3 linked regions of the Coturnix japonica genome follow. The protein of the gene in region 1 purifies or fractionates together with the protein of each later gene. This does not show direct contact. Links are inferred from orthologs where the notes say so. Each region holds a gene or a part of one and is shown in the gene's direction. Other genes may lie near its edges.

Evidence for each region.
Region 2: the proteins of VDAC2 (region 1) and FAM162A fractionate together in Homo sapiens (co-fractionation; 3 studies listed by BioGRID and IntAct, with this or other methods). This does not show direct contact. The link is inferred for Coturnix japonica from reciprocal best matches to the Homo sapiens genes VDAC2 and FAM162A.
Region 3: the proteins of VDAC2 (region 1) and PHB purify together in Homo sapiens (affinity purification with mass spectrometry; 4 studies listed by BioGRID, with this or other methods). This does not show direct contact. The link is inferred for Coturnix japonica from reciprocal best matches to the Homo sapiens genes VDAC2 and PHB1.

The regions. Positions count from the first base shown.
Region 1 is NC_029521.1:12,473,835-12,483,047, reverse strand, and holds the start of VDAC2 (voltage-dependent anion-selective channel protein 2), read left to right. Parts: upstream 1-649; 5' UTR 650-748; intron 749-903; exon of another isoform or gene 904-1,036; intron 1,037-1,423; 5' UTR 1,424-1,444; coding exon 1,445-1,478; intron 1,479-4,757; coding exon 4,758-4,829; intron 4,830-5,871; coding exon 5,872-5,921; intron 5,922-7,058; coding exon 7,059-7,211; intron 7,212-7,294; coding exon 7,295-7,347; intron 7,348-7,785; coding exon 7,786-8,013; intron 8,014-8,869; coding exon 8,870-9,020; intron 9,021-9,213. UniProt on the Homo sapiens protein: Non-selective voltage-gated ion channel that mediates the transport of anions and cations through the mitochondrion outer membrane and plasma membrane.
Region 2 is NC_029516.1:69,174,186-69,184,137, forward strand, and holds the start of FAM162A (protein FAM162A), read left to right. Parts: upstream 1-5,282; 5' UTR 5,283-5,320; coding exon 5,321-5,336; intron 5,337-6,024; coding exon 6,025-6,150; intron 6,151-7,578; coding exon 7,579-7,687; intron 7,688-8,504; coding exon 8,505-8,613; intron 8,614-9,851; coding exon 9,852-9,947; 3' UTR 9,948-9,952. Other genes in the region: CCDC58 (coiled-coil domain-containing protein 58), read right to left, coding at 1,176-1,235, 3,925-4,071, 4,352-4,477, 5,037-5,282. UniProt on the Homo sapiens protein: Proposed to be involved in regulation of apoptosis; the exact mechanism may differ between cell types/tissues.
Region 3 is NC_029542.1:2,950,411-2,960,310, forward strand, and holds PHB (prohibitin), read left to right. Parts: upstream 1-3,381; 5' UTR 3,382-3,481; exon of another isoform or gene 3,482-3,587; intron 3,588-3,938; 5' UTR 3,939-3,976; coding exon 3,977-4,064; intron 4,065-4,439; coding exon 4,440-4,601; intron 4,602-5,085; coding exon 5,086-5,228; intron 5,229-5,386; exon of another isoform or gene 5,387-5,498; coding exon 5,499-5,615; exon of another isoform or gene 5,616-5,642; intron 5,643-5,974; coding exon 5,975-6,070; intron 6,071-6,530; coding exon 6,531-6,743; 3' UTR 6,744-6,901; downstream 6,902-9,900. Other genes in the region: ATP-dependent RNA helicase DHX8, read right to left, coding at 102-407, 508-617, 1,094-1,179, 1,435-1,507, 1,702-1,787, 2,324-2,435.

The DNA.
Region 1 (9,213 bases):
TGATTCAGAACTTCTTCCTTCAGGGTGGGGCAGTAAGTACTTCACTGGATTGCTTTAAAATGATAAAGCCGGACCATGACTAATATATATAAAAAAAAGCCACCCCACCATTCTGATGTAAGAAACTGAAATTCTATTCAGAATGAACTTGTATTATGAACAATTCATGCCACATTCATGTTCTTCCCCCTAACATCCAACCTAAAACAGAACTAGATGCTGATGGGCAGTTGGAATTTACTGCCGGTCAGCCTGCTTTAGTAACGGCTGAAAAAAAAAAGAAAACGGCTGCCGTACCATGTGTTGGAGGAAACCAGTAGTGCTTGTTAACGTGTATTTCATGTGATTCGAATATGATTTGACTCGCTTTCACTTTTCTGACGGGTTCTGACTGAGTACTTTTAAGGAGGCTGGGCCTGTGCCCACTTGTGCTGTGGCTGGTGACCGTTACGGGGCGGAAGTTTCTACTTGAGTTAGGCGGGCGGCTCGCAGGGCCTGCACCCGGTGTACGGGTCTTCCCTCGTGCGGGCCGCTGGACTGAGGAGCCGCCCGAGGCCTCGCTCCGCCCCGCGCGCTGCAGGGCCGCACCCGCTCTGCTGAGCGGCGGACGCGTCGCGGGTTCCAGGCGCGGCCGTTGCCGCCCTCCCGCGCAGGCCCCGCCCTCTCACGAGGACCCGTCTCCGCCTCTGGGGCTGCCGGAATTAGCGCCTGCCGGCCCACGTCGCTCCATCCCGGCTCCGCGCTGAGGGTACGGCGTTTCTCACGGCTGGAGCCTTGTGTTCCCGTGTGTGCCCGCGCTGGGGGTCTCTCGGGTCGGGCGGACGGGCGCGCGGGGCGCTCCGTGGGGACGGGCACCTCGCGGGACGGCCCCTTCTGACCGGGGTCCTGCGGGGCGGCGGCGGGCGGGCGGATCGGTGTCTCCTTCACTTCGCCCTCCAGTGCCAGCGGCTGCAGCAGCGCGGCCTCCTCACGGCCAGACCCGCCCGCGCCCCCGGTCCCGCTCCGCCCGGCCCCGCCGCTCTCTCGCGCTCGCCAGGTGCCGGCCCGGGGCTGGGCTCGTCCCGCGGTGCCGGGGGAGGCGGGTGGGGCGCGAGCGAAGGGCGGTGAGCGGGGCCGGGGCCGCGTTCCTCGTTGTCCCGCTGGGGGCGGTCGGGAGGGACGGGGTGTGGGGGGATCGGGACGGGGTCGGGACGCTCCGCCGCCCGCGATGGCCTCGGCCGTGCCCGGGCTGCGGTTACATAAGGGGCGGCCGTAGCGCCGGGGGTCAGGCGCGAGGCCCAAGATGGCCGCGCGGAGCGTTCACCTTGCGGCGGCAGCGGGCGCCGCGCGGCCCGGCCCGTAGCGAGAGGGGATCCGCGCTGCTTCGGTTTTGTGAGCACGGAGCGAACCGAGCGCTGTTTGACTCTCTCTCCCTTCTCCGTAGAGTCTGTGCATTGGCCTAGCTATGGCTACGTCGTCCGCGTGCCAGGCGTCGAGGTGTAAGTAGGGAGGTAGTTACAGCGAGGGTAGTAGTTCTCGTTTAGTAGCTCCGTAAGCGTAAAGGAGGTCAGCGTTAGATCGGACATGTTTTTAACGGTATTTTCAGTATCGGTTTATTGCTATTTTCAATGATAGGATACAATTTCACTTTAGTTGTTGCCGTTTAAAAGTATATATAAAAGTTTATATAATAAAAATATTATATATTTTAATACATAATACTTAAGTATTTTGTTCCTAATTCTGTGCCCTCTAGGCTGATCCTCAATGTCCTGAGGTCTGGAAATGGTTATTGAAGCCACTGGCATACCTTAATTACTAAGTGTGGGGCTCTTTCCAAGTATTGCCTCGAAAGAAAGCTGTGATGTAATACTTGTGACAGCCTTCACACATCTTGGCATTTCATTTTCTTTTTGCTTTGGAAGAAAGTATATTTAAGTAGCAGATTATTTCTTTTAGGTCTATATAGAAAGGGGGATAAAAAGAAAAAGTGGGATGCTTACCTGAAATAAGTATTTTCTATGTTCCTGAAATTAGGATATTTGATATCTACTGTCACAACAGGCTTGTAATTAAATTGTAGCTTTATTTTAGGTGCTTCTAATTAGTAAGAAGATGAAAGACGCTTCAAAACATGCTCGAATAAAATTGCTTCTCATCATAAGGATTTGCAAATCTAGTGAATTTTTCAACACTGGAAGAAACAGAATTGATATATTTTGGCCTTTAAAGAGCTTTCTGGTGGTGACCCCGGCTTACGGGGTGTTTTATGTACCCCCAAATAACATCTGCTTTTTCCTCTTGTGTCCCTGTCAGCGTATGAATTGAAACAGCAACGTGAAGGTCATAAGCTGTTTTAACTCCTTATCAGGAAACCTGGGCCTGTAGGCTGGAATGGCTGACAAGGATTAGTCAGTTTCCTGCAGTAGGGAGGATGCTTAACTTGGCCTGATAAAAACAGCAGTATCCTTTTATTGCAGTAATTCCACACATTTAGTTACAGGCAATTAAAAATATTATTTTTTAAACTTTAGGGCCTTAGCATAAATCTCTTGTCTATGATGAATATCTAGTCAGCTTGGGAACATTAAAGATGAAAGAAGTTTATACATACAGTCATATATTTTTATATGTAGTAGCCTTAAGCACAGACATGCATTTTGATACTTCTGAACTAGTAATAATTATTCTTCTGGAGACGGTAGTTGGACCTACTCAGAGGAAGAGTACATAGCTGAAACTTCTCAAAGCCCTTTTAAGCTACTAATGAACTGGACACCAGGGATTTGGAGTGAGAGAAGACCAGTGCTCCCACACTTTCTTCAAGTTTTGTCCTGCTTCTGTTACTTTTTATTGAATAAATCATAGAAACCATTTTGTCTCATCACTGGGACTCACATCTGTTTCTGCTATTGAATCATCTTTTCCTTAGGCTTATATTATTATTTATTTTTTTAAGAGTTTACTCCTCGCAAGAACGGATTTGTTTTATACTCCCCAGCAGGTGCTGGGTTGATTCCTTTACTGACTTCTGTGTAGAGTTTAGCGTTTCTTGCTGAAGAGGTTCTTGGTTTTTCTTTCAAACTAAGCTAAGCCTGGATGATTTTGCGATGATGCAGTTGAATTTTTCCTTTTGGGCTTTAGGAAGATGGAGAGAGGCACCTGGAAAAACTGTAGTAGATTATAGGAAACCAATGTTAAGGCACAAGACCTTTTTTGTACAATAAATGTTTTTAAAATAGTATTAGTTCATACAGTTAAGCTGCACATAGCAGTTATAATCAGTGTATATTATTTGTGGATGCTGTAGTTAAGCAGTCTGCTTTAGTGGAATGGTGCCCTTGGAAATAATTCTGGGACAGGTGTTTTCAAGCAAGTTTTCTTGTTTTGTTGGTAAGGCCAGAAAATACAGACTTTTAATTAAAAAAAAATGGGGGAGTGCTGGGAGGGAAGAGCCTGCTTTGATCCCATGTGACTAATGTACTGAACTTGTAGAGATCTGCAGGAGGTGAATAATTCTATAGTCAGAGGATGATAATTGAAATCTGGTTAAAAGTGCTTTATAAGAATGGAAAGCGTGTTCAGTTGAAAATTAATATACAAGAGTATGATCTTTGTTTTAGAATCTGAAGGTGTTTTTTGAAACAAAACCCACAGAGGAATGAGATAGTGAATTATGTTCATCTGTCTTCCAGAAAAGCACGTGTGACCAATTAATTTTAAAATAAGATTTTTAAATTTTTGTTTAGGCAATTTTTAAAGGAAGGATTTTTTGATTGTGGAGGCTTTTTTATGATGCTTTCTTAGCTAGTGTTAGTGTTTTCCCCTTTGTTTTTGTGACCCTTTTGGGGAAATCACCATCTTTGCGAAATATGTTCTGTTTTCTCTATTTTAAAATTCGGAATAGGCTGCCTCTAATATTGGCATTTTAGTATTGAAATAGAAGGATAGTAGTCACCAAAGGAAGGTATGGATGGCGAGTATCCTTTCAGGGAGGAGGAGCGTCGTGCAGATCTGTGTGGGACCTTAGACTGGCATCCAGCAGGCCAGGGAAGCTGGGTCAGATCTGGACGTGAATGACAGGTTCTTGAACACTGAGTTTGCCAGAAGCTCTGTCTGAGAAGAGCTCTCCTTAGAAGTCCATTTCCCTTTCTCGCTTGTATGACTTGCTAAGCTAACAAGGTGCTCACCCTTCCCACCTTTGCCCCAGGACTTAAACTCTTGCCCTGTGTAGGAGGAAAGATCTTCATCTGAATAATTGCTGGTTAACAGCCTTTGAAGATCCTTTCCAAATCTTATCTTGACCATTTTAAATACGGGGGAAGTGATGTTGCAAAACAAATACGCACACTTTCTCATATTGAAAATGAAACATTATGGGTCTTCTCAGATAACTTCCATAAGCACCTGACTTTGTAAAACTTACAGAAACATCTACCAGTGCAGCTTTCCATATTTCTCACTCCTTGGTTTTCAGTGAACGTTCAGTTGGTTTGTGATAATTAAAGATGTAAGGAATAAAACTATTTGAAAAATAAAGATTTCTGTGGTGGCCCCTTGACAATAAATGGGCTACCTGAGCCAAGAAAATGTTCAGTGTTCACGATTATCAGAAAATCTGTAGATTTTTCACAACGTAATGTAATTGAACTATCTGTCGACTGGTAAATACCCTGATGTATGAATCTGCCTTAAAGAACACCATTAACTCTTGTGGTAGCATTTTTGTATGTGTGTGTAGTAAAAGATTGAATTGTAATTACACCATTACCTTTCAGGTTCAATGGCGGTTCCTCCATCATACGCAGACCTTGGCAAATCTGCCAGAGATGTCTTCAACAAAGGATATGGTGAGTCAATGTAGTGTATTGAGTGCGCTGCAGCAATTAATTGACTTAGTTTAGCATGTATGTGGAGTTCAGTGAGTGCTCAAATGCCTGTGCTTCTCGGAAGGGAGGAGAGTATGCTTCATTTAAAACATTTCTATCAGCTAATGAGCCAGCGGAGGCTTTTTTGTGAGCTATTTTGATATGAGGTCTGTTAAACCTTACTGCATTAATCCCATTAATGTTAAGGAAAGAGCTGTGACAGTGTGCAAGGTTAGAAACATCCACTGTTACACAGCTTAGGACTATATTTGCACTTCCTTTATGGATCTTTGTGCAAATGCATTTGTTGATACACAAATGTATATATACCAATGTAACTTTAGTGTGGTTTTGTTGTTGGGGTGTTTTCTTTTTTGGAACAGAAGAGGAAAGAGTAGCCTGAAAGAATTCTCTGAAGTTTTTAAGTAGGCAGTTGCGTAGTTTAAAAATAAACAAGTGCTTAGTTGCAGTGCTGTTTATTTCAGGTCTTTAGGAATTATTGCAGGAGCTCATTCACCAGGGTTATCACTCAAGTTGGAGTGTAAGAAAATGAAATTATTCTCCCATAGTCCTTATGTTCCGGTGGCTGTGTATTTCCTCGTGACTCCCCATTCAGACTTTTTCTTTGAGACCTTAGTGCTGACTTAATGCAATAGGGTTGCTCTTTAAATGGCATTGAGTACAGAGTAGGTGCCATCCAGGGAACAAGAGAATGTACTCTGTCTGTCACTAAGTTTACTCTTGGAAGCCATCTTTTGTTAGTAATAAGTACGATATACAAGAGAGGCTATTCCTTGCTAATTCTTTAGTGATGACAGACAGAACTCCTAGTTTGTTCTTAAAATGACCTCTACTGCTTTAGCATTTGAAATTCAAGCATTAAAACCAGCCTATGCTAGGTTTTTTATGTGTATGCTTATATGTGTGTATATATACGTGCACATGTTGGAAAACCGACACCATGGAAAATCTGCATAGTCTTAGTTAAAGCTTAACTTTTAAAATGTAACTTCTGTTTATTAAGGGTTTGGACTGGTGAAACTGGATGTGAAGACAAAATCTGCAAGTGGAGTGGTGAGTTTAAGTACTTTTTCATTGTATTTCTGGGGGCTGAATGTTTGCATGCTTGTTTAATTATATGTGAGCACTTTCCAGATACCATCAAGTAGCTTGTAGGTTATATTAATGCTATTAATGAAAATTTCAGGAGCACCTAAAGCTCTGACTTCACTTTGAATATAATACCACTATTACAAATATCACAAAAAACAACAAAAAAGCTGTCTTAATCTTTGTAAAATAAAATGGTTTCTTAGCTTTCCCTCATGATAAGCCTAAACAAGTATTTGACACCATTTTTGCTGTTTAACATGCAACTTTGTCTAAATTTTTGACATCTTACTCCATGTGTGAAGTAGTTGGTAGTGAAACAGCGCTGTGCATTTCCTTTAAAAGGTATTCAAATGCTGTTATGTTCCGTGGTAGATATCTTGGTAATGCAAGCAGTATCTCCTGCAACTTCCATCTGTTTCTATAGCAGACTTTGCAAGATGTAAAGGTAGATTCCGCCCCCCAAGAGCAGGAAGTTTTAACTGTGTAACTGGCTGTATAAATACAAGGTGTGTGGGTTATGTGCTATTTATTTGTAGAGGGCTGCATTCCAGAAGAAACACTGTTTGTGAGGGTCCTATTATAGATGTAGTCCTTTTTCCATTTGTTTCTGTCAAGGTCTAGTGGTTATCCTGCTAAAACTTACTGCAAAATTCAAGCTCTTGTGTGAATCCCATTTCAGTTACAACACCTCCTTCCCAGGAAGAGAATGTGCATAAACTTATATTAAAGACTCCTTGTTTGGTTTGATTTTTCTTTTTTCCCCGCCCTCAACAGTACCAGACTTAACCTTATTTTGGAAAGCTTTTTTCTTCTTTTTGAGAAGAATGCTTTTGTATTGCTTTTGAGTTGCATTATAAACCTCTATTTTGTAATAGCAGTACACACTGCATTTGAGATGGAGGGTGAGAAGGGAGAAGTCTGTAATGTGGATGTGAGTCATCTGGTTCTTCTAATCCATGTTACATTGCTGTCCCCTGAATTATCTGATGTTATATAGAACAGGATCTTCAGTGAAGAAAGGTCTTTCTCTTCTGTCACTTTGTAAAGCTTTCAGGATCACATATTTATTTGGTATAACACAGTCACTGTCCTTTCTAGGAATTCACAACATCTGGTTCATCGAACACAGATACTGGAAAAGTGAATGGAAGCTTGGAGACCAAATACAAGTGGGCTGAGTATGGGCTGACTTTCACAGAAAAATGGAACACAGATAACACTCTGGGAACAGAAATTGCAATTGAAGATCAGGTAATAGATTAGCTGAGTATTCCTTTCTTTCACTTAACTAGCAGGACTGAATTTATAGCTTTATTTTCTCATTCTTCGTTTAGATTGCCAAAGGCTTGAAGTTGACATTTGATACAACTTTCTCACCAAATACAGGGTAAGATTTTTTTTGCCTTTTTACCTTGTGTATCATGCTACACATGTGGTTGGTAAATGTTCCATCTGGTGTGTCAGATCAGCAGATGTTTGTTATTGGTCCAAATTAGCAAACCCCCGTGCTAAAGACTTCTGCTTTTCCACACTGGATCTTATCCTGGGGGCTTAGTATTGGACACTTCAACTGTCTGTTTCTCTTGATTTCTGAGATAGAAATATTTAGTTGGACTATTGCAGGAGATGTGAATGTGTTTCTACCTTCATCACAACGCATCTATGGTATGATTTTTTTTTTTTAATAGTTTGAGTTACCTGTGATTTGGATCAGTCTTTTGGATATATATGCATGGCATTTAGGTGCATTCTGTTGAGGCATGTGGCTCAAATTTGTCTTCTCATTGAGAATAACCAAACTGTCTTAACCGTTTCTCTATTTCAGAAAGAAAAGTGGTAAAATTAAGTCAGCATATAAACGTGAATGCCTAAACCTAGGTTGTGATGTTGACTTTGATTTTGCTGGGCCTGCAATCCATGGTTCAGCTGTCTTTGGTTATGAAGGATGGCTAGCGGGCTATCAAATGACTTTTGATAGTGCCAAATCAAAATTGACAAGGAATAACTTCTCTGTGGGTTACAAGACTGGAGATTTCCAACTTCACACCAACGTGTAAGTACTGGTAATTGTGTCCTGTTCTACAAAAGCAGGTTTTTTTCTGCCTTCCTTCTATATACACGTTTAAACTACCAAGATGTGCTTGCAAGGCACATCAGCAGCATGAGTTTTTGTAATATCAAACTTTGTAAATAAATACTACTTTGTCTCTTTTTCAGAATGCTGAATACACTAAATAATGACTTGTTAAGATTTACATGCTACAGTTTACCAGATACTTGGAAGCTTGATAAGCTCGTTATGCAGAGCTGGTTGAAAGACTTTATCCAGCTTTCCCCATGTGTTGAGCTGTATCTGACTAATTTAGGAGGCAGTCCATTTGTTAGGGGTAGCAATTAGTGCTGCACTATTTAAGTGGGCCAGAAGCAGTTTCTGGAACAAAAATAGTTCTGCTTTTTGAGTAAGTTCATCTTCCTGTATTGATGGGATGAGTGCATAAAATGCCTAGAGTACAACTGGAGTGTGAATGAACTGAAGTTCATTCTGAACTTGCTTCAAATTGCTGTAGTTAGAGACTTTGGGTGTTCTTTAGAGCAAGCTGACTAAAATCTGAAGAACGTGATACTTCACTGTAATCTAATACATTGTTTTAGTATGTTTGTTTAGGTCATAACTTGATTTTGAGATGGATTTTCTTTTGAATGGGGATTGTTCTGTCTGGTTTCGTGGAAGTTGAGATGGGGAAAGCTACAAAGCATGATATAAGAATTTCATTTTCATCTTCCCTTATCCAGTCTAAAAGTGGGAAACAAACTTTCTAAATTCTTACTTAACTAGAAATTTGAACTGCTTCTTAAAAAAAAGAGTGAGTTTATGTAGATATAAGAAGTTGTATTTTTCATCTATGCAGCAATGATGGTTCGGAATTTGGTGGTTCAATTTACCAGAAAGTGAGTGACAGTCTTGAAACTGCCGTAAACCTGGCATGGACAGCTGGTAGCAACAGCACTCGCTTTGGAATTGCAGCTAAATACAAGTTGGATTCCAACGCTTCTATCTCTGTAAGTATGATTCTAACAAAAAGGGTTATGCTAAACAGAGCTGCTTTTCAGTTTCTGAGCATGTATGTTAGTACAAAAGAAGATGACTAATCCAAAAGTCTTGCAAGAGCTAGACTGGGAATCCAAGCAGTTACTAATAAAACAAGTAGTATTTAAATGTTGCCTGCAGTGAAGTTTGTAAGAGATGCTGGTT
Region 2 (9,952 bases), on another chromosome or scaffold:
GACTATGTCAAGTACAGCAGTCTAAATCAAAAGCAAAACACGTAGGCCCAAAAAGTTGTCAGTGCTGTTATCAAGGAATTTAATTATTTACACTTTTAGCACCAAACTTTGACCAGGGCATGTCCTGAGAAGTGGCACGAGCACCACCTAGCACCAAACCAAGGCAACAGCAATTACTAAGCCACTGGCAGCAACTCTGAAGCCCATGGAAGATCAATCCATAAGGTACTTTTTCAGCCTTAGAGGGAGGTGACAGTAGAGTTGGAAATAAAACCCAGGCAGACATTTCTCTCTAAGTCCTTCACTAAACACTTGCAAACTAAAACCTCTCTGCACCATGTGAGTACCTCACTGCTTCTCAACTAAACATTCCCAGCTCCCAGGAAAAGTCAGGCACTTCTGTCACTAACACAAGCTTAATGTAGCTACAGGAAATCAGTGGTACTAGTGCTAAGTCCGCCCCCTTTTAAAGTAAAATCAACAGTGCTGCTCCAATGAAATGTTTGCCACTGGTGTTGTTAAAGTTATGGTATTTCTTAGTCATATTCAAGCTAGCTCAAAATTAATTAAGCTTAAGGGCATGACTAATTAATTAAGGGCATTATAAGCTTTTCCAAACAGTACAGAGACTGAGTGGGAAAACATGTAAACATTCATTTAGCCTCCATCAGGCTCTATTATGGTGATGACCTCCAAGAACACAGAAGACATTAAGTTTATTCCATTTACCCTGATGAAACAAACCTAGGTCTCAAATTCTAAAGCTGAGATTAAGAAAGGAGTAAAGCATCTGGAGCCATAGATCCAGAAGGCGACACCAGAAAGCAACAGCAGGACTGCCCTGCACACTGGGATCATCCATCCAGGCCTGCAGAACAGACATGCTTACCAAGTCCCTAGCCACTGAGTAGGGCTGAGAAGGGGATCTATGTGGGGAGCATTCTACAGTCCTTCTTCCCTACTAGATCAGCCTCATTTCTTTCCTTAACAGTGCCTCTGAAAAGCCCTGAAATCTGACTGAAAGCCCTGAAATGACTGACCTGAAACACTTGCCCAAGCACTGCCCACACTGTTCCTAGTTAACCTGCCTCATAAGCATTTGTCCCACAGCTCTAGGGCAGGACAGCACAAACCCATGGCACAGAGCTACATTGCTTTCTAAAATGATGAATTACCTTCCAGCTTCTGTCATTTACCACTTCTTCAACATTCAGCTCCGACTGCATCAATTTCAACTGTAAAAAAATAACAGACAAACAAAGAGGTTATTGTCAAGATGTTCCTTGCAGCCATCAGTACTCGCTACCTCTGCAACTTCTGTGAGAAAAACCCAGTACCAGGTGCAAACTGAACTTAATCATCCTGAAAGCCTGGTCCTTCCATTCAGCCAATATTTTGGGCAGGTTAAGGAAGTCTGCAAGGGGCACAAGTTACTACTGGTTATTAATTCAGTCTTAAATATCTCCTGTCAGGATTTGATAGAATGAACTGATCAGCCTTAATGTTTCCACAGACAAATATTACTTGTGGTTGAATAGCACTCAGCACCAGGGATAGCAGTGCTGTGCTTAGCTTTGTAGCCTTGAGTTCTCAGTCTTCCACTCACATATTACTGGAGTCAAACAAGATAGTTAGCAACAGAATTAGGGGAAAATCATAGATTTCTGATTTAGAATTAAGATCAAGAAGGTATAATTTTATAGGAAGTCCCCCAGTTTGTATCACTAGCAGTATGAGAGAAGCACAAATAATAAAGAGTAAAATAGATCTGTATTGAAAGCAAATAAAAATGTATTTGAAAGGCATAGTCTTAAAATAGGAAATGCGCTGTCAAGAGAAATTACCTAAAAAACAGAACCAACAACAAAACTGAACTCCTGGAGAAGGAAAGGAAAAAGGGAGGGGGTGGGGGGGGAAGTGTAAATTTGAGGTCACTTGACTGAAGGATTTCTGAGATGTTCACCAATTATGGATGATAACCTGTAGTTATTAAACATCACTGCAACCTTCTCGTTGGTTTTAGTGATAAGCTCAGAAACAAAGTGATTTAAAGAACTGACTGCAAACAAAACTTGCAGAAAATTCTAAGCTATCATACTAGCTTTCCCAAAGTATCACTGAATCAATCAATTCAAGACCTCCAAGATCACCCAGTCCAACCATCCACCTATCACCAACATTTCCCCACTAAACTACGGCCCTTAGTACAACAGCTACGTGTTCCTTGAACACCTCCAAGGATGGTGACTCAACCACCTTCCTGGACAGCCCATTCCAGTGCCTGACCACTCTTTGGGAGGAATTTCTCCTAGCACCCAAGCTGAGCATCCCCTAGCACAACTTGAGGCCATTCCTTCTCATTCTGTCGCTAGTCACGTGGGGGAAGAGGCTGAGCCCCACCTCACTACAACCTCCTCTCAGGTAGCTGTGGAGAGCTTCTCTCTCCACTGAGGCTCCTCTTCTCCAGACTAAAAAGTCCCAGTTCCCTCAGCCTCTCTTCTTAAGACCTGTGTTCCAGATCCTTCACCAGTTTCATTGTCCTTCCCTGGACATGCTCCAGAGACTCAATGTCTCTCTCATAGCGAGGGAGCCAAAACAGAACATCGTACTCAAGGTGCAGCCTCACTAGAGCTGAGTACAGAAGTAATGGGTGGATGCTCATTTTAAGTTCTGAAAGTTAAGACTTTAAGGGCAAAACCACTTGCCTGACACTTGGTTCTTCAAATATGAGTTGGCATCAGAGCACTTCTCCAAAAGCGAATGTCAAATAGTTCATTCAACGCCTGGAAATATCAAACGATGGACACTCACCCCTTGAGTTCCAGTCATCCCTCCAGGAAGTTCAAATGCATATCACTGCTCTGGAAAGAAATGCTCTTTCAAACCTCTGCTATGCCATCTAGCTCACCTCTGGTGAAGAACACCTTTCATCCAGAGGCTACGAGGCTGGGGCTCTGCACATTACAATCCCTTGTGCAAATCCAGAAGTCCCTCTCACACAAGCTAAACTAAATACTAACAACAACAACAACAAAAATTGCTTAACTGGAATTCAAAGCTTCCTGGCAGCTCCTCAAAGTGGACAGGAACCTTGATTAATACAACGAATAAGATGCTTCTCAGGCTAATGGTGAAGAAGGATGGCTTTAAGGCAGCACAGCTGTATGGTACAAGAGATAAATGTAAAGAACACTTCATTATCTTCTAGTGATCGTACCTCGGCACCTACAGCCACCATCTGCAGTCGCACTATTTTTCACAAGAACTCAAAAAGGCAAAAGAAACCTCCAGACATGTTGAAGAGAGTAAATAGTTACGTCCTTCTAAGAGACGTTTGTCAGCAAAGTTTAAAGTACATCTCGGTAGTGGAATTTCAGAAGACGTGCCATATACAGGATAAAAGCAGTTCTGTTCTGTTCTTATGGTTCTCACAAATCCAGCCGATAAGAACAGAGGCAACACTGCCTGAGTTCCACTGCCTAAACTGGGGTTGTTCAGCCTGGTGAAGGGTGGCCTTTCAGTATCTAAAGGGGGCTATAAGAAAGAAGGGAACAGACTCTTCAGCAGCATCTGTTGTAGCAGGACAAGAGGAAATGATTTCAAACTACAAGAGGGCAGACTTAGACTGGATACAAGGAAAATCTTTTTTTGCAATGAGTGATAAAGCACTACAACAGGTTGTCCAGAGATGCCCCGACCCCGGAGACACTGGAAATCAGGGTGGACATCGCCCTGACTGAGTTGTAGATATCTCTGTTCATTGCAGGTGATTTGGACTAGATGGCCTTTTAAAGATCCCTTCCAACACAAAAAATTGCATTCTGTGAAGTCAGCATCCCCTTCAGGTTCTCTCCACCAAGGAGATCTTTCCATACTGGAAGACAACCCCCATCTAAGTGACCTCTCAAGATCTCCACCACTCACCTTTGTCTGCTCTTTCCTGAGTTGCTTTAATAACGCTACATCATCCTGTGCCTTTTCCCTCTCTTCTCTGAGAGTTTTCACTACACTGGAAGTCTGAGCAATGCAGTTTTTGATGATTCTCTCTCGGCTGGTGTGAGCTTCCATCAGCTAAGTGGGAAGAGGGAAAGTCACAAGTAGGTCAGACATCAAATTAAAGAAACTTTATTGAATCAAAGTATTGTTGTGCCTACAGAACTCCCTTTGTCTCCATAATCCATATGTTAGAAGCAACACTGCTTTAAGCAGTAGGTACTAACTTGGTCTGATGGTAAAAGTTAAAGATACGCATGCAGATGACATACAAGCAAGTATTTTTGAGCACTTTAGTGGGCACCACGCACTGGAAAATCTCCATAGGTGAGCAGAAGTTAAAGGAACAGACACTTACGGACTCATAGAGCTCTTTACATGTCTGGCTGGCGTCAACTTTCCCTACAAAGGAGGCTGTAGGAATTGTAGTGTTTAATTCATGGACGATTCTGTCATCGATCGTCCTCATCACCCTGAGCAACTCCTGCATTAAATAAAAACAAATTTCAAAAACAAACTGTTTTACCCAAGAGAATTGTCCTGCAGAGCCCACAGAATCACAGAATGACCTGGGTTGGAAGGGACCTCAAGGATCAGGAAGGCTGCAGCCCCAACCTGCTCCATGTGGAAGCAGCAGGCCTCTAGGAGGACTCATAGTATTGAGAGCAGCGCCCACAGACCGAGCTGAGCCACCACACTTGGAGCAGCCCACGGGCTCCCACACGCAGCCTTACTCCATGAAGCTGTGCAGCCCGGTCACGTTTAGCTACGAGCCCTATGGCACAGGCTCTCCCGGCGGGCAGGGCAGCGCTGGGGCAGCTCATCCTGCTCCCGGCTGCGAGGCAGGGAAGGCCGGAGCCCCCATGTGCACGGTGAGGGTGCTACCGAAGGGCGGGCGGGCGGACGGGACAAGGAAGGGGGGCCCCGAGGGCACAGCGGCCGGGCGGTCTCGCAGTACCGCAGCTCACAGCAGCCCGCAGCCCCGCACAGCGCCCCGGGCTCGGCCCCGCCGCCCCGCAGCGCGATCCCGTCAGCGGCGCTACCTGGAACTCAGCGAAGTCCTCGCAGCTCACCCCGCTGCTGGGCGCCGCCATACTGGAAAGGCCGAGGGCGAAGCGGCGGCCAATCGGGGGGGAAAGGCGGGGCCAAGCGGGGCCGGGCGGGCCCTGCCTGGGGTTGGAGTGGGGCTGGAGCTGCCGGAGGTCGCCGTCGAGCCGCGGGGAGAACGGGCCTCCCGCCGCCCCCCTCCAATCGCCGGGCCGGGGCGGAGCGCTGCGGAGCGGTGACATTGAGGGGAGCTGTGCAGGGCTGGGCCGAGAGCGGCGGCATGTGGGGCCGAGCGGGTGAGTGGTGGGGAGCCGAGCTGCCAGGGCTGAGTGGGTGTCTGTCCGTCCGTCCTCCCTTTGGGCCGGGGGACGCGTAATGTGGAGCTCGGAGCCTCCGAGGGGTCCTGGACCCGGCGCGGCCCCGCAGCACGGGAGGTGAGGGGCCTCCGGGCTGAGACACAGACGGGAAAGGAACGGGCTGCAGTGCCTCGTTGTTGCTGATCATCTGAAGACCTTGAACGCTGCTTGAATTTATTTCAAGTACCCTTAAGGGCAATTTATTTTAAGTACCCTTTTATCTTCCAGTTTTTTGTTTTGTTTTGCTTTCTCGCCTGTGTCCGAGTAGATAGGTTCCTTGACGTGATGTTATGTCTTCTGCAGGAGAACCCGCTCGTGGGCTGTGATCGCTCACTCTTGTTACTCTATATATGCTTAAACTCGAGTGATATATTTTAGGATTTGTAAAATTGACTTTAATTTCTTTATTAGATTCGGATGGTTCGTGCAGTCATCTTTATTAGATTTCACGGATTATTATATCTGTAGTTTCTTTCATAGCAGTAGATTTGTACCTACTGTTCTTGTTTTCTCTTGGGGCTGTGCGGGGGGGGGGGGGGGAACAACCTCCTACCTAAAAGCCAACCTCCTCACTGCTTCACCTTCTGAGTTAGACCTACCCGTTGTGTTTCCTCTGCTTGCTCTTCAGAGAAGGCTGTGAAGCTGCTGGAAAGAAACATTCCCTGCTTTCTGAGGATGAGTCGGGGAGTGGGGCCGAAGGTGAGCAGGAGGCTCTGCAGCAAGCCCCAGGAGGAAAGTCCAGTTCAGCCAAGAGGTGAGCTTGTGATAAAGGCCATGCTACGTTTCTTGCTGTTTCTTGTTACTGGTCCCCTCCTTGAGTTGTTGACGCTGGATCAAAGGAGTGTACAGGTGTGAAGCAATGAAAAACCCCTCATCTGTACCGGGGTAAGATCAAGAATCTCTTTAACATCGTTATGTCTCCAGTAATGGATAATAAAGGGGGTGACCCTTGTGTTTTTGTAGGGACTAAAAGGAATGGTGATGCATAGCAAGGATCTGAGGGGGAGTGTTCCCTACGCTGCTTCCCAGAGACAGAGTCTTGGTGTTTAATGGTCCTTGTTGGATTTTTGTTCTGTAAATTTGTGAAGTATTCTGAGGTTGAAACTATTTTTAGCACCCACATCCTCTGGGAAGGGATTCTTCAGTTCAACAGCACTGTGAGAAAGTATCTACTCCTTATATTTGTTTTTGAATCTGTCATATGCTGTTTTTCCTCTGTTCTTCATTCAGTGCTCTCTCCAAAGCGGTGCCATTGTGGCCCACGTTCACAGCATCACTTACAGTGCTGGTGCCCTCTGTTGTGCCGGAGGGGAACTCAGTTGGTGCTTTTCCAAGTTGATGGGTTTTGGTGTCATACAGTGTTTGTTCTATGGCAGCTGCTCCACACCTGTGATCGCCCTTAGGAAATTTGACTGTTTTTGAGACAAAGGCCCACTGTTTCACACGCTTTTCAGAGTTGTGTTTTTGTACAGTGACATAATAACTCTTTTGTGTTGCTCTCTGTTCCTTTCCTTATCTGAAAGATGGTCAGGCAGTGGAATGGGCTGCCCAGGGAGGTGGTGGAGGCACCGACCCTGGAGATGTTCAAGGAACGTTTGGATGTTGTGTTGAGGGCCATGGTTCAGTGAGAGCTATTGGCGATGGGTGGATGGTTGGACTGGGTGATCTTGTAGGTCTTTTCCAACCTTGGTGATTCTGTGATTTTGAGCATTTTGTTTATGGAGGTTGAAAGCCTGAGATGAAAATTAAGGATCTGGTCTTTGCTTATGATCACCTGGTTGTTTAGACAAATACCTACAAATAAAACATTCCTGACTCCCCGGAAAGCTTAAAATTCTTTGATGCTACGGAACAGGATGTTGGCTTTTCTATAGCAGTTCCATTTGTTTTCTTTCAACTAACGCAAAAGTAGTAGGAAGGCTCTAATGTCACAGTTTAGGAAGCTTAGATGCAAATTTAGAGCTGCAGAAGAGAGATTGTGAACGAGATTTGGCTTTCCCATCTAATCAACCCTCAGTTTAATCCATGTTCAGAGGTTTATTAATCTGACCATGCGATAACCTTTTTGTTCTGTAACCAACGCTAGGAATTGTACATAAAATTCTGCATTACTCAATCTAACCAGTTAGGGATTCAGCTTTTCTGATTGTCTTTTTTGGCCGGTTGGCTGCTTTTATTGTAGGTCGGCCTGTTTTGCGGGTGCCTGGACACAAGCCTACAGAGTGGGAGAAGAAATGTTTGCTGTGGGCAGGTCATTTCAAGAAGCCAGAGGATATACCGGAGGTCGTCTCGTAAGTGCCAGTTTCAAAGCTGAGAAAGTGCCATTGCCTGCACAGGAATAAGTTATCTGAATGCAAATCCAAAATACCTTTTCTGAAGGAAAATGGGTTTCTACAGCTGCTGTAATTGTATCATCTTGTAGATGAGGTTACGTGACCTGGAGAATTCTGGATTGCTGAGCTGATTTAGATGTAAATCATTTAGATTTTTCCTGAAGGGATGACCAGTGTCTGTCAGTTGTTTCATTAGTAAGACATCACGTCCATTAATTTTTATTCATCCAATCAAAAAAGATCTTTGCAAATACTAGCATGAGCTTTTTCTTCAGCTCAGTACTCTGCAATGGTGATCAAACCACTCTTGTACTCCCCTCCAAAGGAAAGACCAAAAGCTTTTCAGTTTTTATGTCCTACATGACTTACCATGTCAAACCATCCTCACGTCATGGGTTAAAACATGATGCAGGATTCCACATTCAGTCATGTTAGTGTAAAGTGTTAGTATCCCAGTCCTGTTAATTCCATTATCTATGTTAGTCTTTGGATATAATTATTTTGTGCCATAATGTTGATGCTTTTCAATTCACCTATAATTTCATAGTATGCTAAATTTAATCAGTGAGCATATTAGACTTCCTTAAGAAGGGAATCATCCACTCTAAGTTCTGCAAGAAGAGTTAAATATATAGGAGCAGGTCGATGGTTAGTATGGAAAGGATGTGTTACACTTCATTGGTCCTTCTCATAATACAAACTTTCCATTTCCTGTAATTAAGATTTGGTAGAATGATCTTCCAGTAACGAGTCTGTTCTTTTATTACTTCTTGAGGCTTGACGCAATCCGAGCAGCACAGACCACACTGCGGGTGAAGTTCAGCTACGTAATGATCGCCTTGACAATAGTGGGGTGCATAGTGATGGTGATCAGAGGGAAGCAGGTAAGTGTAAATTTTTGGCTGGTGAGTACAAACGCATCTTAACATAAATTCCTCAGTTCCTCCTTTGGATTCTTAGAGCTGTTTGTCCTTCCAGTTCCCCAGAAAGTAATGCTCACTGATTAATTCCCAGGCCAGAAAAGGGTGATATCACTGTTAGACTGTATGTACTAAAGCAGTCTTTTTCTCCCATGGCCTTCCCACCCCAGCAAAATACTTAATCTTATCTTGCGCTGCTTTAACTCCTCAGTTTTGCTGACAGGCTGCAAGAGTTTGAAAGGAAAAGTAGTTTTCTGTTGTTAATCTGGTAGATGGGTAAATGTTCCTTGGTCCAAAAGGATCCATGCAGTTAATCGCGTGGCAAACTATTACAAATCACTGTACCCCTCTATGCACTGCAACAGCAAATAGGAGCATTTCTTCACCCAGACTGAGAATTGTCAAAGTCTTTAAACAGTGGTGAGGTAGGGCAAGCACTAATTCTGTGCTCTTTAATTGCATTAGAAAAGTCTCCTTTTACTCTTAATAGTACATTTATTTTTTTTCAATTATTGTTTAATTGAAAAAGCTGAATATTTAATAGGAAAGCCCCCAAGTGCTGTAGACACTGAGCAACCATCCTCTCTCTACTCCTAGGCTGCCTTTCCCTAAAGCCATTCTGCTGATTACAATGTTTCACTCTTCTTTCCGTTGACAACATTTTTAGGTAATGACTTTAAAACTGAGTCTCAATGCCAGCCCTGTAAATCATTGAAGTGCTAACACTTCTACTTGTCTGCATTCACTTCTCAAAATACAAAAGGATGCAGCACTGAGATGAATCAGTGGAAAGGTTTCTCCTTGGTGTCAGCAGAAGAAATCAAAGACTAACAATTCCCATAAGTTCTTCTCTCAGAGTATGAACACGAACACTGGAAAAGAGGACAACTCCTTTGGGACCTCAGTTTTCACAGCAGCTGTAGTCTATTATATTTAATTTTTTGTTTGCAGTACTTCTGAAGATGAGATTAGAACTAAATACTGACCATAAGCACAGAATACATCTGCTTGGGCTATTAACAGAAGGGCTTAACTTGTTCCCAGAGAAATGAGTTGAAACTAAAATTATCTGGATGCTCAATTTTAACCCTCTCTTTTCCAGTTATTGCCTTGGTGAGGATAGGCAAGATATCTTGTAAGCAATTCATCTGCGTGGTCCTTTAGGTGACGCTTTCTACTCATGCTTTGTCCTTATTTTGTAGGCAATAAAAAGGCACGAATCTCTTACAAGCATTAATTTGGAGAAGAAAGCTCAATGGAGGGAAGAAGCTTCTCAGAGCACATCTGCTAAACCTTAGAGGAG
Region 3 (9,900 bases), on another chromosome or scaffold:
AGTTAACAGTCTCTACTGTAGCATCATAACCTCTTTAAGACCCCAACAGAAAAAAGTAGAGATAAAATGGTACCAGATTTATTGTAAATATTATAACATACCTCAGTCCTTCCAGCTGCACGAAGCACCCAAACTGCATTATACTGGTGACTTTCCCATTGTAAATGTCTCCAATGGAAGGCTCCTCAGGTGGCGGACGGTCTACGTGCTTGTCTCTCCATCTCTCATTGCTCTTCTCAATATACTTGTCTCGATCCCTACGGTCCCTACTTCGACTCCTGCTCCTCGAGTAGTATCTGGATTTACCTCTGTTCCTATCCCGAGTCCTGGAACGAGACCTAGAGCGAGATCTGTGCCTTCGTTTCCTGTCCCTGCTCCTGCTTCGGCTTCTTTTCTTTTTCTTTGCCCTTAACAAACAAACAAAATATATTAACACTGAAATTCGACAAGAGCAAGTAGACATTAACTGCCAATATCCAGTCCCTTAAAAATGAACTAATAACATACCGGTGGTCACTGCTCCTTTGTTTGCTTTGCTTGTCTGCACTAGGCATCAGAGCTTCAAGTTCTTTAAGTGCATCTGCTGCCACTTTCACATCATCTTCATCCAGCATAGTCTGCAAAAACAGAGAATCATCCTATAAGACAGCTGAGATAAAAATCCATCACAGAGAATTCACCTACAAAAAATCATCTCATGCATTTCTATTCAGAAACACAAACTTAAAAGAAAAGATCAGGCAGAATACATGATAAGAACAAATATTAAATGTAATAAAGCTATTTTGCCACATTAGTGGACCAATTCTGCTTCTACATAAAGGATCCCTTCAACCCAGCACCTCAAATTACTATTGAGTTACAGAATATAAGTTTGTAGAAGTAACTATTGGTAACAGTTATTCCTAAGGATTACATCCAATAATATCAGCCTTTGGGCTCATTGATGTTTTAATTCTCAGTCTGCTCTTATCCACGCTTTGGCTGGAGATATAAATGCTAACGTGAAGAAAAACCTGAAATAGAGACACCAAAAGAGCCACAAACTACATTTTCACACACTCATTAAAGGAAACTGAAATGATGACCTTACCCTAACGTTGGGATTGTCTGGCCTGCAAAGGGCTGGAAATAATTCCTTCAATCTTTCCTTTTCCGATTTGGGTTTGGTAACGGCCTCTGATTTGGAGATGAACAAAACAAACAGATAGTTTGTAAGAGTCAAAATGATTTCATCTCAGCCTTTCTGAAATTGAATGTTAAACTTTCAGCCACATATAGAGGTTAATACGGATCTTATTATTTTAGAATATTAAATATATTGCCCTCAGCAAACACAAGACACAAACTGCAAAGGATTCGAGAGCACAGTTTGGTTGGGTTTGTTTCTTTTTAACTGAACTGATGGAAGGGAAAAGAAAAGACTTCACTCACCTTTACTCGCAGATGGTTTTGATGGAGGCCGCATCGTTTGTATGAGACGCAACAAGTTGCTGATAAGGGAATCCTGCAAACAGAATAGAAGGTTTAAGATGTAAGAGGTGATAGCATCACTTTTGGTCATTATTACAAAGCACAATATGGGGGTAAACAACAGGGCAAAGATTGAAAGGCTGAATATTGCATAGCCCTGCAGTATAGCCAATCCCTATATCTCCCTTTGATAAAGGAACACACAGAACACATTCAGATCTCACTTACTGTGAACTCAGCCCCATTCTTTAGCAGAACGGCTTTAAACGTGTCAAACGTCGTGTTTTTCTCGGCGAGGCTGATCACAAATTCGGCTACAAAGAAAGAGCACAAAGTGAATCAAATAGCACAAGGGCACAGAATCACACAGAATCACAGAATGACCCGGGTTGGAAGGGACCTCAAGGATCATGTAGTTCCAACCCCCCTGCCTGGCAGGGCCACCAAACATACACATTTACTAGATCAGGTTGCCCAGGAGACCCCATAGATCCCCATAGAGACCCCATAGATCCCCATAGACCCCATGGACCCCATAGATCCCCATAGAGACCCCATGGACCCCATAGATCCCCACAGAGACCCCATAGATCCCATAGATCAGGTTGCCCAGGGCCCTGTCCAACCTGGTCTCGAACACCTCCAAGGTGTTCAAGGGCAGCACCCAGATCGATCCATCTACCTACAGAACAGCAGCATCCCCTTCTAGGCGCTCACATCTAAACGTTTTATAATATTTCTTTTAGAGATATATTTTATTCTTCTCAATTCCAAAGGCCTTTCGTTGAAGGCATCATGGCCGTCAGGCCCGGTTACAACCTCCCCACAGCTATCACCCCACCTCACTCACCCAGATCCTTATCGTTGATACCCAGGTGGTTGTCAAGCTCGGTGCAGACCTTAGAGACCAGCGATAAATACTCGAGCTTGGCGAGCTCCTCTAAAGCCGCCAGGTCCGCCATCTTTCCCCCACCCCCACCCCACACACCAGGAGCCACTTCCGCATCCGGGAAGCACCGGAAGTCAAGCTGATCATAGAGAGGATAGAGAGCTAGAGCGGCTCTGTCCGGATCCAATCAGCGCTGGGGGGTGCCGGAAGTGGCCGTTGCTAGGCGACGCTTGCCGCCGCCATGTCGGCCTTGCACTGGGAGGCGAGGCGAAGGCAGGCCGCGCTGGAGCGGCGCAGGGCCGCGTTAATACGGGTGTGTGTAGAGCGAGGGAAGGGCTGGGGAACGGAGCTAGGGCGGCTCTTATAGCCCCATATGTACTTTGCAGTCCGCGGGCTGCTCTAGAATGGATACGAGGCACGGTATTGATAACAGCCCGACGCAGGCATTGCCTCCCGGTGAGCAGAAAGCGGCCCTGGGGTTAAAGGAAGGGCTGAGAGCCGGGCTGGGCTCTACTCAGCTCTACCTTGTTCCTATTATAGAGCCTCAGCCGTATCGTTGCTGCTGCCCGAGTCATCAAGCGTCCAACCCAAGTGCCAGGCTGCCCAATCGCTTCACGGTAAGGAGCTGCCTCAAAGAGCTGAGATCCATCTGTTTAGAAGCCAAAGTAATTTCCCTTTGCATCTATAGGCTATTCAGTACATGCAGCAATGGTGAGGACCACAGACCACAACAAGCAGAGCAAAGCACCGCCTGTGTACAGCACAAGGAGCCATGTCAGCTAAAGCTAAGAGCTAAATAAAATAGCACTGCGCCTCAATGTCAATGGTCTGTGTTAAGCATTAAGCTCCTTCCTCTGCCTGGGCCTGCCCGGCTCTGGGGTTGCAGGCCCAGAGGCTCATTGCTATCAGCGAGCTAAACAACCAATAGGAAGCAGCCTTGCTCAGCATGTGGTACCGCCGCGAAGCTCGCTGGGAGTTGTGTCCTACCCTGTAACTACAATAACAACGAAGAACTACAAGTCCCAGAATGCCTCGTGGAAAGCGCGGGCCAATAGGGAGAGGGCGTGTTGAGGTTGCACGCATGCGCGGTAGGGTGGGAGGCCGAGGATTCATGTGGAGGTCAGGGGAGCTGCGGGAGGAGAGTGGGGTGGGAGGGGGCGGAGGGTCTTGGGGTATTGGAGCTGAGCTGGGGGCTGAGGGTACGAACGAGGCCTTCACCCGCCAGGTCTGTGTCCTGAGAGTCAGAGGCCTCGGGAAACGTGGGTGGGAGGAGGGAGGGGGGGAGAATGGGGAATTAAAGGGGGTTCGAGGTGTGGGGTTCCTCGAGGGGTTTTGGGGGGGGGGAAGGGGGGGATGTGGGGTCTTGGGTTCAGAGTCCAAGGTGATAAGGGGGGGGGGAGTGGAGAGGCCTGTATGGCTGCTGAGGGGCAAAGAAATTGCTATTATAATGAATGATCCCATTTCATGGTGGGCTTTTTGGATTGGGGTTCCATCCCAGCTCTAGGTACACACTAGGGCTGCCTGGTTTTCTCGTTTCCTATAGTTTTACCGAAGTTATGGGATTTTTTTTTTGCAGGAGGTTCATCATAAAGGGGTTAGAACAGCACGTGAGAAATGGCTGCCAAAGTGTTTGAGAGCATTGGGAAGTTCGGCCTGGGGTTGGCTGTTGCAGGTGGAGTCGTCAATTCTGCTCTATATAATGGTGAGTGGGACAGGCTGAGTGTTTCCAGTTCTCTTTATGTCCTTATTATCTGGCTGCTCTGTGCTTTTATTGCTTGTGGTATCTGGGGAAGACAGTGATAAAGCCTCTTTCAGGGCTGTTTTGTACCTTGTGCATTGCATAAGTAGGAGGAATTCAGGCTTTTTCAACACAACTCTCTTGTGAGCAGGCTGAGGGCTCAGTGGTAATGGATGAGTATTCTCTTTTGATTTGTTATTCCTAAGAATATTAATAGCTTTGCCATTTTTACATAGCAAAAAGCCTTAACTAACCTCCATAGACTGTCCCTATGGAAGTTTTGCTGCTGTGCAGATATAACTCATGATGCTACTGAATCTATGTTGTTTTCTTTTCCAGTTGATGCAGGACACAGAGCTGTTATCTTTGATCGATTCCGTGGAGTCCAGGATACGGTGGTAGGAGAAGGAACTCATTTCCTCATCCCCTGGGTACAGAAACCGATCATTTTTGATTGCCGTTCTCGCCCACGTAACATACCTGTCATTACTGGCAGCAAAGGTGAGGTTTGGGACTGGGCAGCTCTATAAGATCCAGGCACTCTGATGTGCACTGTGTGTGTCTCACTCTTCTGCTGCTTTGGAGCTGGGTGGGCAGAGGCATGAGAAAAAGCTTTTTGAAGACACTTATGATCATTAACGTGCTAGAGGACTATAGGAATGAGGGTTTTATCTCTGAACATGGAGATTCTATGAGTGTAGAGTTTAGCAGTCAGGAATAGTTTGATACTTATCCTTTAAATAAAAAGTCTGTGTTTACTGTAGGGTAATTCCCTGCATTACAGACAAACTGAAGCTTCAGTTTAATCTGTAAGGAGGATTTGGATCCCTATGTGAAATATAGTCCTTGGTTAATGAAATACTACAAACCTTTCCTTTGTTAGAAGTCTGAATGTTTGTCTTATTTTGCTTTCCTCTGGAGGGGACAGCTTCAGTATATCTCCTGCCCATAAGGTTTAATGCTAAATTTGTGCCTGTTTCTGCAGATCTACAGAATGTGAACATCACGCTGCGTATCCTGTTCAGACCCGTGACTGCGCAGCTACCCCGGATCTTCACAAGTATTGGGGAGGACTATGATGAGCGTGTCCTGCCCTCCATCACAACTGAAATCCTCAAATCTGTTGTGGTAAGAACAGCACAAATGCTGGGGTCAACCTGTCGCTTCTCTTTTGTTTTAGCACTAATGAGACGTGCTGAATTGTGGAAAATGTGAAGCTCTAAAATGAGGCTTCTCTTTATACCCCTTGGCTCTAATGTGCAATACAGAAGAGTTAAAACTGTATCTATGCTGATTGCTTCTCTGTCGTTTTAACTACTTGGCTTTATTTTCATCAAGTTGGGTGACAAGTAGAGCATCTGAGAGCTTTCTTCTCACTGTTGTCCATCCTGACTTCAGGCTCGCTTTGATGCTGGAGAATTGATCACTCAAAGAGAACTGGTCTCCAGGCAAGTGAGCGAAGACCTCACAGAGAGAGCAGCAACTTTTGGCCTCATTCTGGATGATGTGTCCTTGGTAAGAGTTCCCTTTCAGTTTTTCTCCCTGTGCAAATAGGGAAGAAAATTGGTAGAGGATCGGAGAAGAGGTGTGAAAGCTTGTGTATGTGGACCCTGTTTGTTTGCAGTTGCACATGATGCAGTGGTTACAGCTCAAGTCAAAGTAGTTGGTTGTGTCACTGGCCACCTATAGACTTTGTTTTTTAAAAGGATGGAAAGCTTGCTAGGTTTAGTTTCTGTTACACTGCATTCTTTTTTTTAGCGATACTGACTTTCCATCTTCTCTGATAAAGGCAAAACGCCTCCTGCCTTAGACATGTGCTGTTGGTAGCAGTGTTGCTGTAAATGCTGTTGTGGACTGTGATTTCTGCCTTGCAGACCCATCTGACCTTTGGTAAGGAATTCACCGAAGCAGTTGAAATGAAGCAAGTGGCCCAGCAAGAAGCAGAGCGAGCCAGGTTCATTGTGGAAAAGGTACTTTATTCTTTTGAGAAACTTTAGCTTGGAAGTAGTTCCTGGTATCTCAGTCATTTCTTCTCACAGTGAATACTTTAGTCACCTGCCCAGGAAACCAGGCAGGTATATGACAGGTGTCACTCAGAATCATAATGCTAATATAGTTCAGTGCTCAAATCTTCTCTAGACAGCTGTCCACCAGGAGTGCCCTTAGGCGAGCTGCTGTTTCATGAGGTTAAGATAAGACAATTTCAAGTCGATTTTTAAACATCCCCTCCACAATAGGCAAATATGTGTTTGTGTATATATGTGTATATGCACAGCTTTAACATACAACCACCTGGTTTAGCTCTCTTAAGTCTTCTGAAGGAAAGAACAATAGAGTGGTGAAGGGGGAATTTATACTTAAAGCTTGCCTGTAGCATCTTCCTTCTGTTTCCTTTTCTGCTCATTTTTCTTCTCACCTGTTTTCTTGCAGGCTGAGCAGCAGAAGAAAGCAGCTGTTATCTCAGCTGAGGGAGACTCCAAAGCAGCTGAGCTGATTGCCAACTCGCTAGCTACTGCAGGTGATGGCTTAATTGAGCTACGCAAGCTGGAGGCAGCTGAAGATATTGCTTACCAGCTTTCAAGGTCTCGCAACATCACCTACTTGCCCTCTGGACAGTCTGTTCTCCTCCAGTTGCCGCAGTGAACCTGGCTCTGCAGCCACAGCTAATCCGATCACCTTTACCTGCCAGTTCAGCTCTTTGCAGAAAAATCATTGCATTTTCCTGATTGGGTAAAGCAGAGAAAATGAAAATTCAACTGATTTAGGATTCTTTAATAAAACTGAACATGCTTCAGAACAAACCTGTGTGCTTTCCATGTATTGTCAGAGTAGTGGCTTCACTGACCAATTAATTAAGCTAGGTTTGAGAACTCAATCTTCCTGAAAAGTCGGTGCAAAGGAGCTTTCTTCTGTTGGTCTCTGGGCACATATAAGTGGCCCAGTGACCTCCGAACATCACAGTGCTTGTACCATGTGTTGCTCCAATATTTAGTGCCTTTATGCTGCCTGTTACAAAGTTGCAGGTCCTTGAACTGTGGAACAGATGCTGAGGAAGAGTGGCTCTTCAGTCAAGCCAGTGTTTTCTCAGGTGTTAGCTAAGGGAAGGAGGATACCTTGGCTGTGTAGTGGCTTTGCTATTTATGAATTGTGACAGCTGGAAAGACAGAGCAGATTTTGTCTGGGAGTGATCCTGATTTATTCCCTGCCACTTCTCCTTTTGTTGTGTAGCTTCGTTTCTTTCACCAAGGTCAGTGGATGTGACAGTCTCACTCTGAAAAAGAGTGCTCAGCAGGGCACATGAGATTAGCTTTTCCAAAGAGCAAAACGAATGCAAACTGAAGAAGGGATGGGGTCGGCAGCTATGCTGCTCTCCCACCAGATGGTGGCAGTAGCAGTTCTATGTGCACGTGGTGGGGACCAAGCTGTGCCTCAACCTGCCTGGAGAAGAGATCTTGGGCAGAGGATGCACAGAGCAGACCTGGAGAAGAGCACACACAGTAGCACACTCCCCAGCCAAGGGAGAAAAAAAAGGCCAGTATAAAAGCTGTTTAACAGGCAGCACTGCTCTGGAAAGCAGGCAGAAGTATTTAATCCCTGTGCCAGGCTGCACTAGTAAAACTGATAACCATTTGACTGTATTGTTTCCAGGCCATCTGCAGGTTTTATCCCCTATAAAATACAGAAAATACTGAACTATGCAAATGCCTGTCACCTTCTAACCTCGGTCCCAAGGTGGCTTTGCTTTGTAGCAACATAAGAGACCTGCTGGGGGGAGGTTGTTGCAGGGCCCTGTACTAGGAGGAATGTAACCCTCTGTGCTGGCAAAGGTGCCAGAATGCATCTCCTTCTTTAGACCAAAGAGCAGCATTTGGTTGCCACCTTCACACATCAAAGCCTTACAACCCATAGTGAAATCTCCCAGCCCACCCTGCTCTGATTTGTCTACAAACTTCCAAAGAAGGGTGTGGGGGGGACTCTTTTTTTCCCTTCCCCCCAGAGACTTGGCTTTACTACGTTTTCCCTTCATGCTAGTGGAAGAGCTCAGCTTTGCACTAACCACAGCAGCTGGGCTAGCCTGCTAGCAATATGCAGACCAGCTAAACAAGCTTTTGGCCAGGATAAACAAATAGGAAACTGTTTGATTTCCTCTGCATTCACCCAATCTCTTCCTATTTAACAGATAACCAGCCTACCTGAGCTGAGAGGAGAGCAAAAGAAACCACATGGACAGGTACTTTGGAACAGCTGTACTTTGCAGAATGCTTGTTGCAGAGGAATGGGCACCTACCCTGATAGTTGCTAGCATATGAAATCTGCTGAAACCTCTCTAGGTAAGGGAGCTCCCTGAGCTTATGATAATTTGTACCCTGCAGCAAACTGGCAGCGTCTGAAGTGGTTAGAATAAGGAATAGGGAGGAGTTTCCTTATTGCTTCTTTTGTACTGTGGATCAAGCAGAAAAAGCCCGTCCCAAAATGCAGAGAATGGGGGGAAGCACTTGTGGAAGTAGGTAGGAAGTGAATAATTGCCTAAGCCAAGCTGGAGCTCAGCTGGCTTAATTATTCCTTGCATGACACTAGGCAGCACAGGGGGCAGAGAGTCCCCTCTGAGTCTTGCTCTACTGCTGTTGTGAAAACAGCATTTGAGATTCCTTACACTAGATCTGCATACAACATTGATCTGGACTGCATCAGAAACCTGCAGTGAGTTACCCCTGATCTCTTACAGGCCATAACCGTGCCTAAGTCTGGGACAGTGCATCCCAGCTGCTGGAAGGCAGTGCAGAAAGTGAACAGTATGAGATGCCAGCTGCAAGACACGCTCCTGCACCCCAAGCTGGTAGACAAAATGAGGCAGGAAGGGCAAAAGGAGGCTAAGGAAGAATGTGTGCAGGATGCCTCTGAAGCAGTAGGTTAAAAATACACAGCAGATGGAAGGACAGGAAGGAAGCAAAGATTAAGCCTGAACAAGGTAAGCCCACCCCAGAGACATTAATGCAACATGACTTTCATAGGGGTGAGTCTCACTGTGCTCCTTCTGCAAAGCTAGTAAATATTACTCTATTGAAGAAGCAATTGCTTCCTTTCAAACATGGCTTTTAATGGGTAATTTTCAAGCCCATAAAGGTGTTTTTACACAAGAAGCTGGGCTAGAATACTGGATGTGGGTGGAAGGGACCACAGTTTAGCCACTTTGTTCCCCACTGGCTAATGTATAATGGACCTGTATTCATATAGCTCTGGTAGGAAGTTGATGCTGATCAGAGTAAAAGTGTTCTTAACAAAAGAACACAAGTGTCTCAACAGCCTCATAAGGTGGAACTCACAATTACTTCATTGCAAGTGTTAAAGCTTATGTAGCAGTCACAGCACCAAGCCTGCCTTAGTTCAAGAAGTGTCTGTACAAGCTTAGACATATGGTTTAATTTTCAGGTAGTCCCGCATGGAGTCAGGAGCTTACTCAATCTCTGTATGGCCACTCTGCTTGCATCCTGCTGCTCTCAAGGTCTAACCAAGGGTATGAAGAGAGATGCTGGTGGGTGTTAACTCTGCACTATTTGGAGGCAGATAATCTAATTGTGGCCTTACACTGAGCTAACAAAGGAGAAGGGAGAGTGGGAACAGGAATTTCCTCTGTCTGATCTTCTCTGTGCTGATACAGTCTCAAAGCCCAACACTCAAGGGGGTGGTTCCCTCCAAGTGTAGGACTTCCTGTGACAAGAGCTGGCAGGAAAAGCCCTTTGTTTCCCTTTTGCTTCCTTTCCCATTGCTTGAGAGGATCCTGAATCCTGCAAGACATAGC